3 linked regions of the Oryctolagus cuniculus genome follow. The protein of the gene in region 1 interacts with the protein of each later gene in a pairwise test. Links are inferred from orthologs where the notes say so. Each region holds a gene or a part of one and is shown in the gene's direction. Other genes may lie near its edges.

The links.
Region 2: the proteins of CDK6 (region 1) and CDKN2B interact in binary tests that used the Homo sapiens proteins (3 or more experiments, as listed by UniProt). The link is inferred for Oryctolagus cuniculus from reciprocal best matches to the Homo sapiens genes CDK6 and CDKN2B.
Region 3: the proteins of CDK6 (region 1) and CCND3 interact in binary tests that used the Homo sapiens proteins (3 or more experiments, as listed by UniProt). The link is inferred for Oryctolagus cuniculus from reciprocal best matches to the Homo sapiens genes CDK6 and CCND3.

What each region holds. Positions count from the first base shown.
Region 1 is NC_091447.1:43,168,158-43,174,238, forward strand, and holds part of CDK6 (cyclin-dependent kinase 6), read left to right. Parts: intron 1-2,594; coding exon 2,595-2,730; intron 2,731-5,614; coding exon 5,615-5,761; 3' UTR 5,762-6,081. UniProt on the Homo sapiens protein: Serine/threonine-protein kinase involved in the control of the cell cycle and differentiation; promotes G1/S transition. Phosphorylates pRB/RB1 and NPM1.
Region 2 is NC_091432.1:185,075,825-185,080,108, reverse strand, and holds the start of CDKN2B (cyclin-dependent kinase 4 inhibitor B), read left to right. Parts: upstream 1-1,484; 5' UTR 1,485-1,849; coding exon 1,850-2,005; intron 2,006-4,284. UniProt on the Homo sapiens protein: Interacts strongly with CDK4 and CDK6. Potent inhibitor. Potential effector of TGF-beta induced cell cycle arrest.
Region 3 is NC_091436.1:127,963,374-127,967,576, forward strand, and holds the start of CCND3 (G1/S-specific cyclin-D3), read left to right. Parts: upstream 1-1,403; 5' UTR 1,404-1,565; coding exon 1,566-1,763; intron 1,764-2,562; coding exon 2,563-2,778; intron 2,779-4,203. UniProt on the Homo sapiens protein: Regulatory component of the cyclin D3-CDK4 (DC) complex that phosphorylates and inhibits members of the retinoblastoma (RB) protein family including RB1 and regulates the cell-cycle during G(1)/S transition.

The sequences.
Region 1 (6,081 bases):
AGTGCCTTCAGCCTGTGACATTTTACAGCATTTTTAAGAACAGTGTCATAGTAAAATAGAAATAAATGCTGGATTTGGAGTGAGAACTGGGTTCACTCTGGGCTCTGTAATGGAACTCACTGTGTGTGACCTTGACAGTTCATTTCATTCCTCAGCTTCCCCATCTATAAAACGGGAATAATACCCCTGACCTGTGTGTCTCAGGAAGCCTTTACAAGACTCAATGCTGGCCGGTGCCGTGGCTCACTAGGCTAATCCTCCACCTGTGGCACCAGCACACCGGGTTCTAGTCCCGGTAGGGGCGCCGGATTCTGTCCCGGTTGCCCCTCTTCCAGGCCAGCTCTCTGCTGTGGCCCAGGAGTGCAGTGGAGGATGGCCCAAGTGCTTGGGCCCTGCACCCCATGGGAGACCAGGAGAAGCACCTGGCTCCTGCCTTCGGATCAGCACGGTGCGCCGGCCTTGGCGGCCATTGGAGGGTGAACCAACAACAAAAAGGAAGACCTTTCTCTCTGTCTCTCTCTCTCACTGTCCACTCTGCCTGTCAAAAAAAAAGACTCAATGGTGATGGACTTAAAAGTTTTATGTATGTAAGTTTATATAAGTGATCATATCCATAAGTAATACATAATTACATACCACATATCCATATAGAGACATGCTGTTTCAATGAAAGCTTTTGGCCTTCAGTTGATTTAGCTCCATCTAAATATATTCAAAGCTGCGAATAAAAAGACTCAATTTCTAGATAACTGCTTTGATATTTCTTGATAACTGCTTTGATACTTCGAGTTATCAATTTCTAGATATCAATTTCTGCTGATGATATGAAAAATATATAAAAAGAGCTAAAAAGGAATCAAAGAAAAATTTTCAAAGTCTTTAGTAAAGACTCTCTTTTCTTCCTCTCTGTACTATCTTTTCCAGACAGACAAGTGCATTTCTTTTCATAATTGGTAGCGGCACTTCCGTTTTCTTTTTATTCCTGTTACAGACTTTGCTGTTAAGCATATCTGTGTGTTGGTCACACTGTTGTTTCTGTTCGTTGATTCCAGTGACAGTGTGCACGAGTCTTTGTCTGGACAATGCGGCCCTCAGGATGCCCGGCAGAGGCACAGTCGCAGTGTCCTGCCCCAGCCCCCAGTGACAGGTGCACTTAGGACAGAGGCATCTGCTGTTCCCGAGTGAAGTCTGACCTGGGCTCTCTGGGGGTAAAGGAACGGGAAACAGAGCTGTGGAAACCCCGTGACAGTTGCACCAGGACCTCCTGAAACCTGGAACTACGTTCAGGACAGCACTCTCTCCAGGCCCTCAGTCCTCGTGAGTGCCGTCCAAGGAGAAGAATGTGCCGTACGCCAGCACCCTTGCTTTCCCACGGTTCCGAGAAGTCTCCTCCAGCGTTGGACTAGCTGTGCCTCTTGTCCACCACACTGAATTTTTCTTTTATTCAGAGTTATCCGGAGTCTGAGATACAGATTCTTGCATCACCTGATTTTCCTTGCTCAAACCCACTTACCCAGCCATGTATCCATTTTAAATCATGTCTATGTATTGTATACATTGTGCAGGGCCACCAGCTTACTAATGTGTCCGAAGAACCTGAAGTTACACATAAGCAGAATTGAAGCAGTTCATGTTTTCAGTGTAGTGGTGATATACTTCCTCTGCATTTTGGATTAACAGGATGATTTTCTGATTGTGATCATAATGGATAATGAATGGATATTGACTGTGTTGGAAACTGTGCTATGCAGCTTATGTAAATTATCGCTGATCCTCATAACAGCCATCAGTTGTTGCCATTGTCATAAAGATACTAAGAATCATAGGTGCTAAGGCATGTGTCCTTACCTGCCAGTAAGAATGCAACCCACATCTGCCTATTTCCAAAATCTGTGTTGTCTTTCACTTGCTGTTCTCTGCAGCTTTCTGATCCCAGAAAAGTTTTCAGGGGGAACATGAATAGTAGTCTTTTTAATTTGTTTTTCAGAATGCCATATACTTTCCCTTATAAAATAATCTGTGCCTAAGACTAATGTATCTTTTAGCCTCATTTTTGTTGTTGGATTCTAATATATGTAGTTACTCTGTGGAGAAGCACTCTTTGGTCAGAAATGCAACCCAGTCGATGTGTTGATAAGCCGTGTTGAATGAGCATCATAGAAGCATGTCAGGGCTGGAGTGTCCCATCAGGATGCAACACTCCTGGGCATAAAGCCACACACACACACACACACACACACACACACACCCCGGCAGGTCTCCTCTGAACATAGTAAGTCCCGTGTTGAGGCCTACACACAAGTAATGCACTCTTCCATTTCTCCATCATCTTTTACATCTGGTGTCAGCTGCGAAAATAATCTCTCGTCACTGCCCAGTGGAGTTAACAGTCCTGGGAGCTTCCCCGGTAGCATGTGACCTGCCCTGTTGCAGTAGGACAGAGGCGAAGGAGAGAGCCTGGCTCACCACGTGAAGGTTTCCTGGGCTCCTGCGCCCTCCTGCCTGGCCCTCAGAGCCGGCTGTCCTCTAGCATTCCCTGAGGGAAGAGCTTTGGCAGTGCCCAGTGCTCACGTGCACCTGTGGTTCTTTCCTAGCGTCATTGGACTCCCAGGAGAAGAGGACTGGCCCAGAGATGTTGCCCTTCCCAGGCAAGCGTTTCATTCCAAATCTGCCCAGCCGATTGAGAAGTTCGTAACAGATATCGATGAACTAGGCAAAGACCTGCTTCTGGTAAGTTCGCCCTGTGCTGATAAGACGCCTGCCCTGTCCAGGCTGTGTGGCAGCAGGAGGACCCGTGCAGCGACTGCTGCAGCCATCACCTGCATCGCCACAAGAGCCCAGGGCTGCAGTCCCCCTATAAGTTCCCTTCCCGCACCTGGAGCTACTAGTGGCTGTCGATCCCGGGACATCTTTCCAATCCACACTCTTGAAAGCCACCGCCTTTGAACTTGTGTTTGGGAGCGGCCTTTCTAAGGCTGTGGGCTCACTTGGATATGTGCTTCTTTACCAAAGTCCCGCGTCCTTTGATGTCTCCTGGTTTACAGTTTCGTGCTACCTTTAGCAATTTGGGAGTCATTTGGGGTGCCTTTCCTTAAATAGTCACATGCTTAGGAAAATGATTTTCCAAAGGAACTACCGAGTATGCTTATCAGTGATTGAAGTGTTTATTAAGTGATTTCCTATAGCTGGAGGTCAGAACAGTAGGTGGAGGAGCTCACCTGCCGGGCTGCTCTTGGTGCCTGGAGCCCGGTAAGCAGTCATCAGCAGGTTTTGATGCCTGCGTCAGCCTGTGGGTCAAGTGCCGTCTTCTCCGCGTGTCCCATTCTGGGGCCCAGGACGGAGATCAGACTCGGAAGGTAGAGGCAGCCAGCAGGGCAAGCAGAAGCACGGGATGCCCCTGAGAGCCAAGGCCTGGGAAGAAGCACCCTGCCTCTGTCCACGTCCCATTGGCCAGGGCCAACCTGAATGGAGGAAAGAATGCGTATGTGTACATACACATGCATGGAGGGGGAGGGGAGAGAAGAAGGAGAATATGTGGTTACAAAAAAAGTTACGCACTCAATCTATCCTAATAGTCAACTCTTGACTCACATATGATTCCAAAAGCTCATTTTTTAAAGAATTATTTCATTTATTTGAAAGAGTTACACAGAGAGAGGAGAGACAGAGAGAGGTATTCCATTCTGCAGGCTCACTCCCCAAATGACCGCAATGGCCAGAGCTGTGCCAATCCGAAGCCAGGAGCCAGGAGCTTCTTCCAGGTCTCCCACGTGGGTGCAGGGGCCCAAGGACTTGGGCCATCTTTCACTGCTTTCCCAGGCCACAGCAGAGAGCTGGATCAAAAGAGGAGCAGATGGGACTCAAACCGGCACTCATATGGGATGCCGGCGCTTCAGGCCAGCGCGTTAATCCGCTGAGCCACAGCATCAGCTCCCCCCCCTCCCCAAAAGCTCATTTTATAAGTCAGTTAAGAAACTGGGAAGTAAATTAAATTGAACAATATTACTACACAATTTAAAGAGCCTCCTTCTTCCTCAAGCAGAGCAGCAATAGGAGGTCACTGCCTTTGCTAACAGTATCTCCATAGGACAAAGTGCAGCAGGGCTTCCCAGCTGGCTGGAGTCCTCCCTCTCTCCACCCTCTTCCCTGCACCCAGCCCTCAGAGGGGCTGTGGGGAAAGGGCTTGCAGGCAACCCTCCAGGAACACCTCCCTGTGTCCGGATCACATCCCACGATTCTTCTCTCTTTGCTGTGTCCTGCCTTTTCTAACAGCACTGCCTGATTTTCTATTTCTTAGATTCTGGAAAGACAGAACTCAGGCTCCAGCATGTTGCCCCAGGGTAGGTGTTGTGGTGCAGCCAGTTAAGCCTTATCATGGGCTGCCTGCGTCCCCTGTTGCAGTGCCTGGAATCACGTCCGCCTCCACTTCCCATCCAGCTCCCAGGAGTGCACCTTGGAGGCAGCAGATCATGGCTGTCTCTGGAACCCATAGAGGAAACCTGGATGGAGTTCCTGGCTCCTGGTTCAGGCCTGGCCTAGCTCTGACTGTTGTAGGCATTTAGGAAGTGAACTAGCAGATGGATGTTGTCTCTTACCCCCTTTTCTCTCTCACTCTTATTCTCTCTTGCTTTCTCGCTCTCTTGCTCACTCGCTCTCGCTCTCTCTCAAATAAATAAAAATTACTAACTAGGTGCCAGCATTGTGGTACAGTGGTACACCACTTGAAACTCTGGCATCTTGTATCAAGGGACCGATTCAAGTCCTATCAACTCCTAGCTGATGATGGCCCAAGTAGTTGGGTTCCTGCCATACACATAGGAGACCTGGGTAGAGTTTTGAGCTCCTGGCTTGGGCCTGGACCAGTCCCAGTCATTGCAGCCATTTGGGGAATGGACCAACAGACAGGAGATATTCTCTCCATGGATATGTGTCTCTCTCTTTCTTCCCACATTCCACACCCTTTCCCTCTCTCTCATTCTGCCTTTCAAATAAGTAAATCTTTCATTTAAAAAATTAAATAAATAAACATTTAAAAAACAAAAAACCATGTGCCTCCTATGTCAGGAGCTCGGGAATTTACCTGAAATTTTAGGCAGAATTTTCTGTTCGTGTTTCTCTAGAACAGCAGCTTTCTGCAGAGGTTTAGAAGAGGCCCTAAACCGGTCAGGACAGGGTTGGGTGAGCAGGAACCCAGGTGAAGTGGAAGAAGCCTGCCTAAGCCTAATGACGTCACACGGAGGACAAGCGCTGTGGGCATCTTACGTGGCCGCTCATGGCAGTGGACGCTGCTTCCCAGAGAGACACGGAGACGCTGCTGCAGCTCCACTGCTGCGTGTGAGCTCCTGGCTCACGGGGTGGCCCCTGCTCCTCAGATAGTGCCTGTCGCCTGCTGGGTGCTCCGTGGGCGGTGCTGGCGGAGGGGAGAAGTCTTTTCCCAAGGGGCAGTTTATACCAAGGGGACATGACACAGAGTGCTGTGCTGGTACCCTAACGAGGCTCTTGAAATAGACGCTCATTGTCCTCGTGGTACACGCAGGAAGAAGGCAGCGCTGTCTGCGTATCACTCATGTTGACAGGTGTCACGGCGGTCGATTATGTTTTCTGTGTATTGCAGAAGTGCTTGACCTTCAATCCAGCCAAAAGAATATCTGCCTACAGCGCCCTGGCCCACCCGTACTTCCAAGACCTGGAGAGGGGCAAGGAGAGCTTGGATCCCCACCTACCGCCCAGCCAGAGCGCCTCAGAGCTGAACACAGCCTGAGGCCCAGCGGCCGCCCGGAGCTGGCCATCCGGAGGACACCACGGTGGCTGACGGGTCCCCAAGCAAGCCCCGCAGAGCTGCTGAGGATGGCTGTCGCGAGACCTTCGGCTGCTGTCGTCTGGTTGGGCTCTGCCTCCCCAAGGAAACCACCTAGTTTACTGTTCCGAAATCAATGCAAGAGTGATTGCAGCTTTATGTTCATTTGTCTGTCTGTCTGTCTGTCTGTTTCAAGAACCTGGAAGAATTCCAGAAGAAGAGAAGCTGCTGACCAATTGTGCTGCCATTTCATTTCTCTGACCTTGAATGCTGCCCGTGGAAAG
Region 2 (4,284 bases), on another chromosome or scaffold:
GAAGGGGGTGGTTGTTAACAAATGAAATAACATTTTCCCAGATGAATGTGGATGTTCAGATGAGAACAATAGTTAGAGAAATTAAGGAAGTTGAAAACTAAGAAACAGCAGGTGAGATGTGAAAGAGAACTTGCTATGCATACTGCCTCCTTCCCTGCCCACTCCTAGTGAATTTCAGCCCTGTTGGGGCTCATCAGTAGGTCTTCATCCTTGCATGCCACCTTCATGGGCCACACTGTGTGTAAGGAAAGAGCTTTTTCTTTTCCTACATTGATTTGCCAGAGAGGGAATAGGATCTAAGGCATGCTACAAGAAACATGCTGAGAAGTCTGTCATTCTTGAATAAGCTAGCAAATGACTCGTAAGACTGCCTTTTTCAGCACTCTGAACCAAAACAATTTTCTAAATAAGAACCCTTCAGTGTTAGGAGAGGTCCACTCTCAAGTAATTCATCACCAAAGTTCTTAGGAAATAGACACATAATTTTTTGCTCCCGTCCTATTTCAAGTTGCAATTTTTTTTATCTTTAAAGCAGTAAATATGTTGATTCAAACTCACCCAGCAAGTAGGAAAGAGAAAATAGCACTTGGCCTTTAAATCTTCAGAGGCCAATTTAATGACAGGTTCAGCCTGTTTAATGACAGGATCAATACCACACCCCTGTTTTATTATGTTTCATTATTACTGCATAAATGTCCTTTATTACTCATGAAAAATAAAAATCAAATACTTGCCGAGCTGGGTTTAAATAGGTAAGAGTGCAAACAAAGATATACTGTACAAATATCAAACAGGGATCTCAGATTCTTTTTTTTCTTTTTTAAATTTTATTTAAGTTATACAAGTTTCATATATTTCTTATACACAGATTTAGGTCAGATTCTTAAAATACATACTGTGCCAGGTTGCCCCTCTCGATTTTGGACTAGGTTTTGGGGGAGTATTTTCTATTTTGCTTTCTTTTGCTTTTAGGATTGTGCTCATAATTCAAACATGGAAAGAATCTAAAAAGTAGGGTTCTCGGGATTTTTTTCACTGTCGTCCTGGTGGAAATAGGAAAACACACCAAAAGCAACGCTAAAATGCAAGATGTGAAACCCGTGAAGTTCAAGCACTGCTTGAGGATGAACTTAACCTGCACGGCAGGTGCAGGGCTGTCACGTTCAGGTACTCTAGTAGGGCTGGAGGTTTCTTCACGGCCTTCCTCGGCCACTCCATTGCACAAGGAGCGACTAACAGCAGCCCTCTGCTCCGCCTGCTGGGGATTTGGAGCGGAGCGCTGTGGGGCAACGTCTCCGAATCGCTCCGGGCAGCACGCAGATGGCGCTCCCGCAGGCTCCCGGCGTGGCGACTGGCGCATGCGTCGCAGAGCCTCACGGGGACGCGCCCCCGTCGGCTGTGACGTCATCGGCTGCGGGCGGGGCTGCTGCGGAGCCAGAGGGCCGGTCCCGCGGGCGCCGGCGGGACAGTGGGCGGAGCCTAAGGGGGTGGGGCGGGTGCAGCCCCGCCGCCCAGCTGGACACGGAATTCATTCCCGGCTGGCTCGCAGCTCTGCCGGAGTGAGGCCGGGCAGCGAGGACGCCGAGAAAGCGCCCGCTCGGCTGCGGCTGCGGCCGCGCGAAGGGTTTTTCCCAGGAGTGAGCTGAGCGCGGCCGCGGGTTCGTGGGCGCCAGAAAAAGCCTGGAGCTCGTCAAGGCCGTGCGGCCATTGCATCGGCTCCCAAGTCGCACGAGGACGGCGAGCGGGGACAGAAGCTGCGCTGAGCTCTCCCGGGGAGGGGAGAGCGCGCCGAGGCGGGGTGGCCAAAGAGGGAGGAGTGGCGGGCCGCCCCGAGTGTAGGGGCCGTGGAATGCGAGACGAGGACAAGGGCATGCTCGGTGGTGCAGGCAGCGATGCGGGCCTGGCCAGCGCCGCGGCGCGGGGCCAAGTGGAGAAGGTGCGGCAGCTCCTGGAAGCCGGCGCGGATCCCAACGGAGTCAACCGCTTCGGGAGGCGCCCGATCCAGGTAGCCGGGGCCCCGGGGCCGCGCCGGCAGGGGGCGCAAGAGCGCGGGGCGCGGCCGCCGCGGGTCCGAGCTGGGGCCGAGGTCGCGGCCGCAGCCTGGCCAGCTGCAGGGGGAGGCCAGTCGTTAGGCTGGTTTTTACGCAACAAAAAAATCCTCAAGAAAGGGGTGGACTAACCCACTGCTCCGCTTTGGTTTTCTTTTGAACGGCGGGGAAATAGCAATACCAGGGTACTGCTATTGGAAAACGGTTTTAAACGATGCTTATCTTGTTGCAAAAAGAAATCGAAATCTATGCATACGTGGGATTTTCAAAAAGTTCGTGGAAAATGCGTGTTGGGCAAAAACAATAGATTTCAAAAAAATTTTTTGCACCAAAATAAGCTTGTGTTTAAATTCTGTTTTCCAGTAACTTTTCGAATTACCACCATACTTGCTCTACCGTCTCGTGATTAAAGATGCAGAGAATGGAGAGAACAGGGGGAAGGAGAAGTTATTTGGGGAGGATGGATCTTTTTGTCTCCTTTCAGTGACAAAGATGTTATAAGTTACACAATCTATGTTGGATTTAAGAAATTTACAATATCATAATGCATGAGAAAAAATTAGTGAACTTTTAAGCCTCCATGTGGAATCCTTTATATTTTCTCTCATAGGAGTGAACTGAATTCAAAGAGACGAGATCATATTCCTCAACAACACTCCTTAATTCCTTTTATGTTAGTGTTTCTTGAGTGATTAAAATATGCTGCTCCATATTTTTATTGTTTTAACGACTATACTCAGCAATTCAATTACAAAACCAATTCTGCAGCAACTATTAGATTCTTTCTGATTGGTACAGGACATTCACAAGTAGTCTCTTCATCGTTAAAATGCACTTATCAGTGTTTTGGTATTAATGCTGCTATTATTAATTAGTACTGACATTTTTTACATTCCTTTAAAATCTAACAGCATGCTTTTGAACTTTACTGTGACCCTTATGGTCATAGTCACTATTCTCCTCACTGCCACTCTCCAGAACTAAGCTGATATTAAAGGATCTCATTAATAGTGTAGATTTTTAAAGAAAATACATGTTCATTCCATTTGACTTTTTAGAAAAGTAAAGTTAGGAAGATTTGAAAGAAGCAAAGATATTGTAAAGTGATTCTTAAAGACTTAAAATGATATTAATAGTTATAAAAGCAAGTTTTCTAATTTGTGTTTTTAATTTACCATTTACTGAGACACTAAGAACCACTCCCTCCCCTTCTCTCTATATAAAATACTTTGTACATCATTTGTAAGAATGATTTATGTTTATCATAGTTTCTGAGGAAAAAAATAAAAGTTTTTATATTCTTGAAACAAGACTAAAGGTGTACTGCCTTTCAATTGTATTAACATTTTGAAGCACATAAATTCACAAGAGCAAATAAGTTTTTTGGCAGTTATCAAAAATTGTTTATTGTTAACAAAAATATGAAAGCAAATGCTTACATAATGCACATATATATACAGATGAATGAATGCTATAGGCTTATTCCTCTGAAACATTTTTAGTTATGCATCATTTCTGATTTCACTGATAATGTACAAACTATACAGCAAAACATTTACTATCTAATGTAAAATCATGTAGGAGGTAAATATGTATGTTAATTTTACAGTTATATTTATATTACACTCTAAATTTTAGTCTGCCTCTATAACATTAACTTAAAAGGTGAAAAGCTGTGAACCATTAATTCAAGATAAGTCATTTGTTTTCGTCGTTTTATAGAGTATGCCTGACTTGTTTTACTTTGTCCTCTAATCTCCAAGTTTGTCTCGGATTATCAGATTACATTTGGTTTATGAGCAGACACATGTGACAGAAAAAACAGGAGCCTCTTACAAGAGAATTACGTTGTTTCTTATTTTCTCCCCTAAAACATTACTCCAACCTCCCCCCCACACACACACACAAAACAGGTGACTACCTAACAAATATTTTTAAACCTAGATTATGGTGCATGGGCAACAAGGAGAATAAAACTTTATAAGGCATTCAAGTTTAATTCTGCTCATAAATCACTTAACCAGCTAGATTCTCATGTTGCAGTAGAAATCGATCATTGATTTTGCCCTCAGTGTAGATATTATTATTTTGCCGCGTGCTCTCACGTCTGGAGAGTAAGATGGAATTTAATTTAATCTGAATAAGACTGGGAGGAGGTGGGTGACCTGCGTAGCATAAGAGGAGGAAGCCGACCCCTGGGGCTGGTCGCACCCTTGCTTTTGATCCAGGTGTAAGT
Region 3 (4,203 bases), on another chromosome or scaffold:
TTCTAATAAAGAGACCGATTCTCAGAGAGAACATGTGACTTGTCTATACACTGTCATTTCTCTAGTTACCCACGTCCTTGGTATCTCCTAAGTTGGGAGGACCCCAAGGGAGGAAGGGATCCCCATGCGTCCTCCCGTCCGGAACATTTCTGTAAGTCTGTGGTCTGCCTCTTAGTCATATGGAATCCAGCCTCTGAGAACACTGCACAGCGACCCAGCGTCTGGGAGGTGAGAGAAGTGGCAGCGGGGAGAGCTTGCAGCCTGCGTGGTCAACTCCTTGAGGCAGGAGCCAGCCCCCACCCCCATGTTTGCTCCAAGCAGAAACTAAGGCCACACAATCAATTTAATGACAAGGTGAGGCCTTGAATCCATGGCCTTTCTGCCCTGTTGCATTTCTGTATTAAGCTGGTTAGACCGAAGCTTTTCAGACTTCCAAGTGCACAGGAATGCAGTTAAAATGCAGATTCGGACGTGGCTGGCCGGTGGTGGGCCTGAGAAACTGCGCTTCTCACCGGCCCAGCCTCCCCCCTACCCCCGGGGTGGGGGTGGGGGTGTGGAGGGGGTGCTGATGGTGCCGGCCCCGCAGTGCCGGATTCCGGAGCCGGAGGGCCTGGGACTGTCTGCCTGATGTTGCGGTTCCTGTGCCTCCTTTTCCTCAAATTTATAAAATAAGCCTAATACCTATCTGATGGTGTTTTAGCAAAGGCTTTCTAAGTTACTGGGGCCGCCGCCTGCGACCCCAGCATTCCATAGGAGGCTGCTCCACTCCCCATCCAGCTCCCTGCTAATGGCCTGGGAATGCTGCGGACTATGGCCCCTGCAACCCACGTGGGAGACCAAAAACGGAGTTACAGGCTCGTGGCTTGGCCTGGCCCAGCCTCAGCTTTTTGCGGCCATTTGGGGGAGTAAACCAGCGGGTGGAAGATCTCCCCACCCCCGGTCTCCCCCTCTTTCTGTAACTGCTTTTCAAAGAGAGTTAAAAAAAAAAAAAGATTGAATACGTTATTTCACATGAATGCTTCAAACAGCATTCATTAAAAACTATGATTACATTCCGTGGAGCAAGCGGCTGTTGAAGCTGTTTGACGAATGACTGAATGATTAACCTTTGCAAAGAAGTCGCTTCCTGGGTGACTGCAATCCGAGAAGCAAAATGGAAAGGCCCATTGACGGGGAAAGAGGCCCACCTCCCAGAAAGTTCACTCGGCCGGGCGGTCGGGAGCGCCCGGGCCCGGAAGCCGGCCGGCCTGCGCCGCGCGGGCCAATGGGGCCGCGCCGGGGGCGGGGAGAGCGCCCCGCCAGCCCTTTCCGTCTGGGGCGCCGGCGGCCCCGCCCCTTGGAACGTTGCGACGTCCGAGCATTCCACGGTTGCTACATCGTCGCGAGGGGCGGGGCGCCTGTCAGGGAAGCGGCGCGCGCGCGGGCGGCGGGCGGGCCGGGGCTGCACCGCGCAGTGCCAGCGCCAGCGCCAGCGCCAGACCCGTGCGCCACGCTCTGCGGTCCGCCGCCCGCGTCCCCGCTCGCGACTTCGCGCTCCTGCCCTTGCCCGTGCGCTGTCTTTGAGAATGGAGTTGCTGTGCTGCGAGGGCACCCGGCACGCGCCCCGGGCCGGGCCGGACCCGCGACTGCTGGGGGACCAGCGTGTCCTGCAGAGTTTGCTCCGCCTGGAGGAGCGCTACGTGCCCCGCGCCTCCTACTTCCAGTGCGTGCAGAGGGAGATCAAGCCGCACATGCGGAAGATGCTGGCGTACTGGATGCTGGAGGTACCGCCCGGACGCCCCCCACCCCACCCTCGCTGCCCCCCACCGCTGGACCTGCGGGGGCCGCCCTGTCGGAACATCTAGGGCCCCACGCCGCTCTGCAAGATGCTTCGGCGGCCGCGACCCTCGGGGCCTGGCCTTTCCGGCTGTCTCCGCTGTGTCCCCGTCCCCTCCCTGACCCTGATATGTTCCTTCCGACCGGCACGGCCGGTTATGGGCACCCTGGCCCAGCCTCTGCTCGAGCCGGCCGTCCCCTCCACGGCCCCTGCTCCCCCCAACCCCCACCCCGCCCGGTCTTCTCGGTTCCTGCGTGTGTCGCGGGGTGCTGGCTGGGGGTGGGGTGGCGCGCCCGTTCCGGCCCGACGGGGAAGGAGACTGTGGGAGACGGCGGCTGGAGCCTCCTTCCTTCCCCTTGGGTGTGTGCGGTGGGTGGTGGTCGCCGGGGGCAAGGCTCTCCTCTGGCAGCCACGGGCGACCCTTCCTGCCCCTTCGCCTCGCTGTGGGGGAGGGGAATCACTGTTTGGGATTCCTCCCAAGGAAGGGCGCCTTTGCTTTGCCACCCCCTCCAGGGCAGAGGGGAGGAGGCGACTCAGAGGAAACGGGCGGGGGGGGGGGGGCGGCGTCGCCGTGGGGAGGGTGCATCCTCTCGTTACTGGTCCTTGTCACTGTAAGCCGCTTACCCTCTCTCGTGGCCGTGCGCCCCATTCCACTTCCCTTCGGCGCCCCCACCCCACCCCACCCTCTTCCTGCCGCCTCGTTTCCCATGCTCCTGCCCCGTCCGTGACAGTTCGTGCTCCCCCAGGTGTGCGAGGAGCAGCGCTGTGAGGAGGAAGTCTTCCCCCTGGCCATGAACTACCTGGATCGCTACCTGTCCTGCGTCCCCACCCGAAAGGCGCAGCTGCAGCTCCTGGGTGCGGTCTGCATGCTGCTGGCCTCCAAGCTGCGCGAGACCACGCCCCTGACCATCGAAAAACTGTGCATCTACACCGACCACGCTGTGTCTCCCCGCCAGTTGCGGGTGCGTGTGCAGCTGCCCCTGCGCCCCCCACCCCCACCCCCGCACAGGCTGTCTCCCCACTTCCCAGGGAAAGGAAAGCCAAGACTCCAGAGGCTTTCAGCCCTGCCCTGGGGAGGGAAGGGGTTAAGGCATATGGATGCTTTTCGGGAAAGGAACCGGGGTGGAACTGCAGATGGGGCAGTGTGGTGTGGTGGTCAGGGTGGCTTCTGCCCTGGCCTCCAGGGGGTGCCACTGCTTCCTGGTCTTTCCCCCAGATAGCAACAAGTGAAGCTGCGTGTCTGCACTCACTAGTTCTTCGCCTCTGGGTTTACACAGTCACCATGAGTTATTTATTGGCAGCACAGGGCATGCCTGCACACCCCCACTGGACTGGGGGTGTGGAATGTGCTCCTGTGGGGGAGGGGGCTGCCTGCGGTGAGCTTTTTTTTTTTTTTTTTTTTTTCCTCCTCCTGTGGACTTTGTGATAGAAAAGCCTCCCGGAGCAGATTAAAGCCAGGCCCTGGCCGCTCTGAGGAGGTGTTCCTCCCACCTTCTTTCCTTCCCCTCGCGTCCCCAGGGAGACAGTGCCTGCCCTAATCCTCCCTTCCTTGTCCTCGTGCTGAGGAACTGGAGCAGCTGCTTTGGGCCTGGTGGACACATCTCTCTGCCTTTCCCCCTTAGCCAAAGGCCCTTGCCCAGGCAGGGAGCTGAGCTGCAGCTGCTTCCCATGTGATAACGATGCCCCCTCCCCCGGCCCGGCCCTCTGACCAAGGTCTTTCATAACCCAGTGGGGAGTTGCTGTCACTCCTGTGGGTTGGGAAGTGGCTCCCCGGGCCCCTCCACTGGTCATCGGTTCTGCTTGGCCTGGGGAGGAGGCGGGGGAGCTGTTTGGATCTGGAAGAGGTTATTTTAGGGCCCACGGATCATCTCCTAAGGGGCTGGGGGAGCGGGTGGGGGGAGCTGGCACCTTGCTCCGTGGCCAGCCAAGTCTTCTCCTGACCCTGAGAGGAGTCTCTGGGCCCCATCTCCCGGGGAGGAGGGCAGCCAGTAGGCTGCTGTGATTGGCTGGCGGGGCAGCAAGGGTACTGGGGCCCCCGACTGCTGCGAGTCGAGGAACTGGATTCCTCTTCCTGCCAAGTAGCTCTGAGAGATGGGAGCAGGAGGCCGGAGTTGGGAGTCCGGGAGGCCCCACAGCTCTTTGTGATGAATCTGGTAGTTTCTGGCCACTCTGAAGGTGGAGCCGGTGTCCAGGGCCAGGGAGCGAGGTCGTTTTGGAGGGCTTGGGGCTGGGAGATAGAAGGGACCCCCTTGCTAGTGTAACCACGGGGATTGTGTATGTGCCTGGGTGTGATGGGCTTTTTTTTTTTTTTTTTTTTTTTTTTTTAAGAGCAGGCCAAGAGGGCTCTTCTCTGATTCTGTGTCCCTGAGCTAGGAGCGGAGTGCACA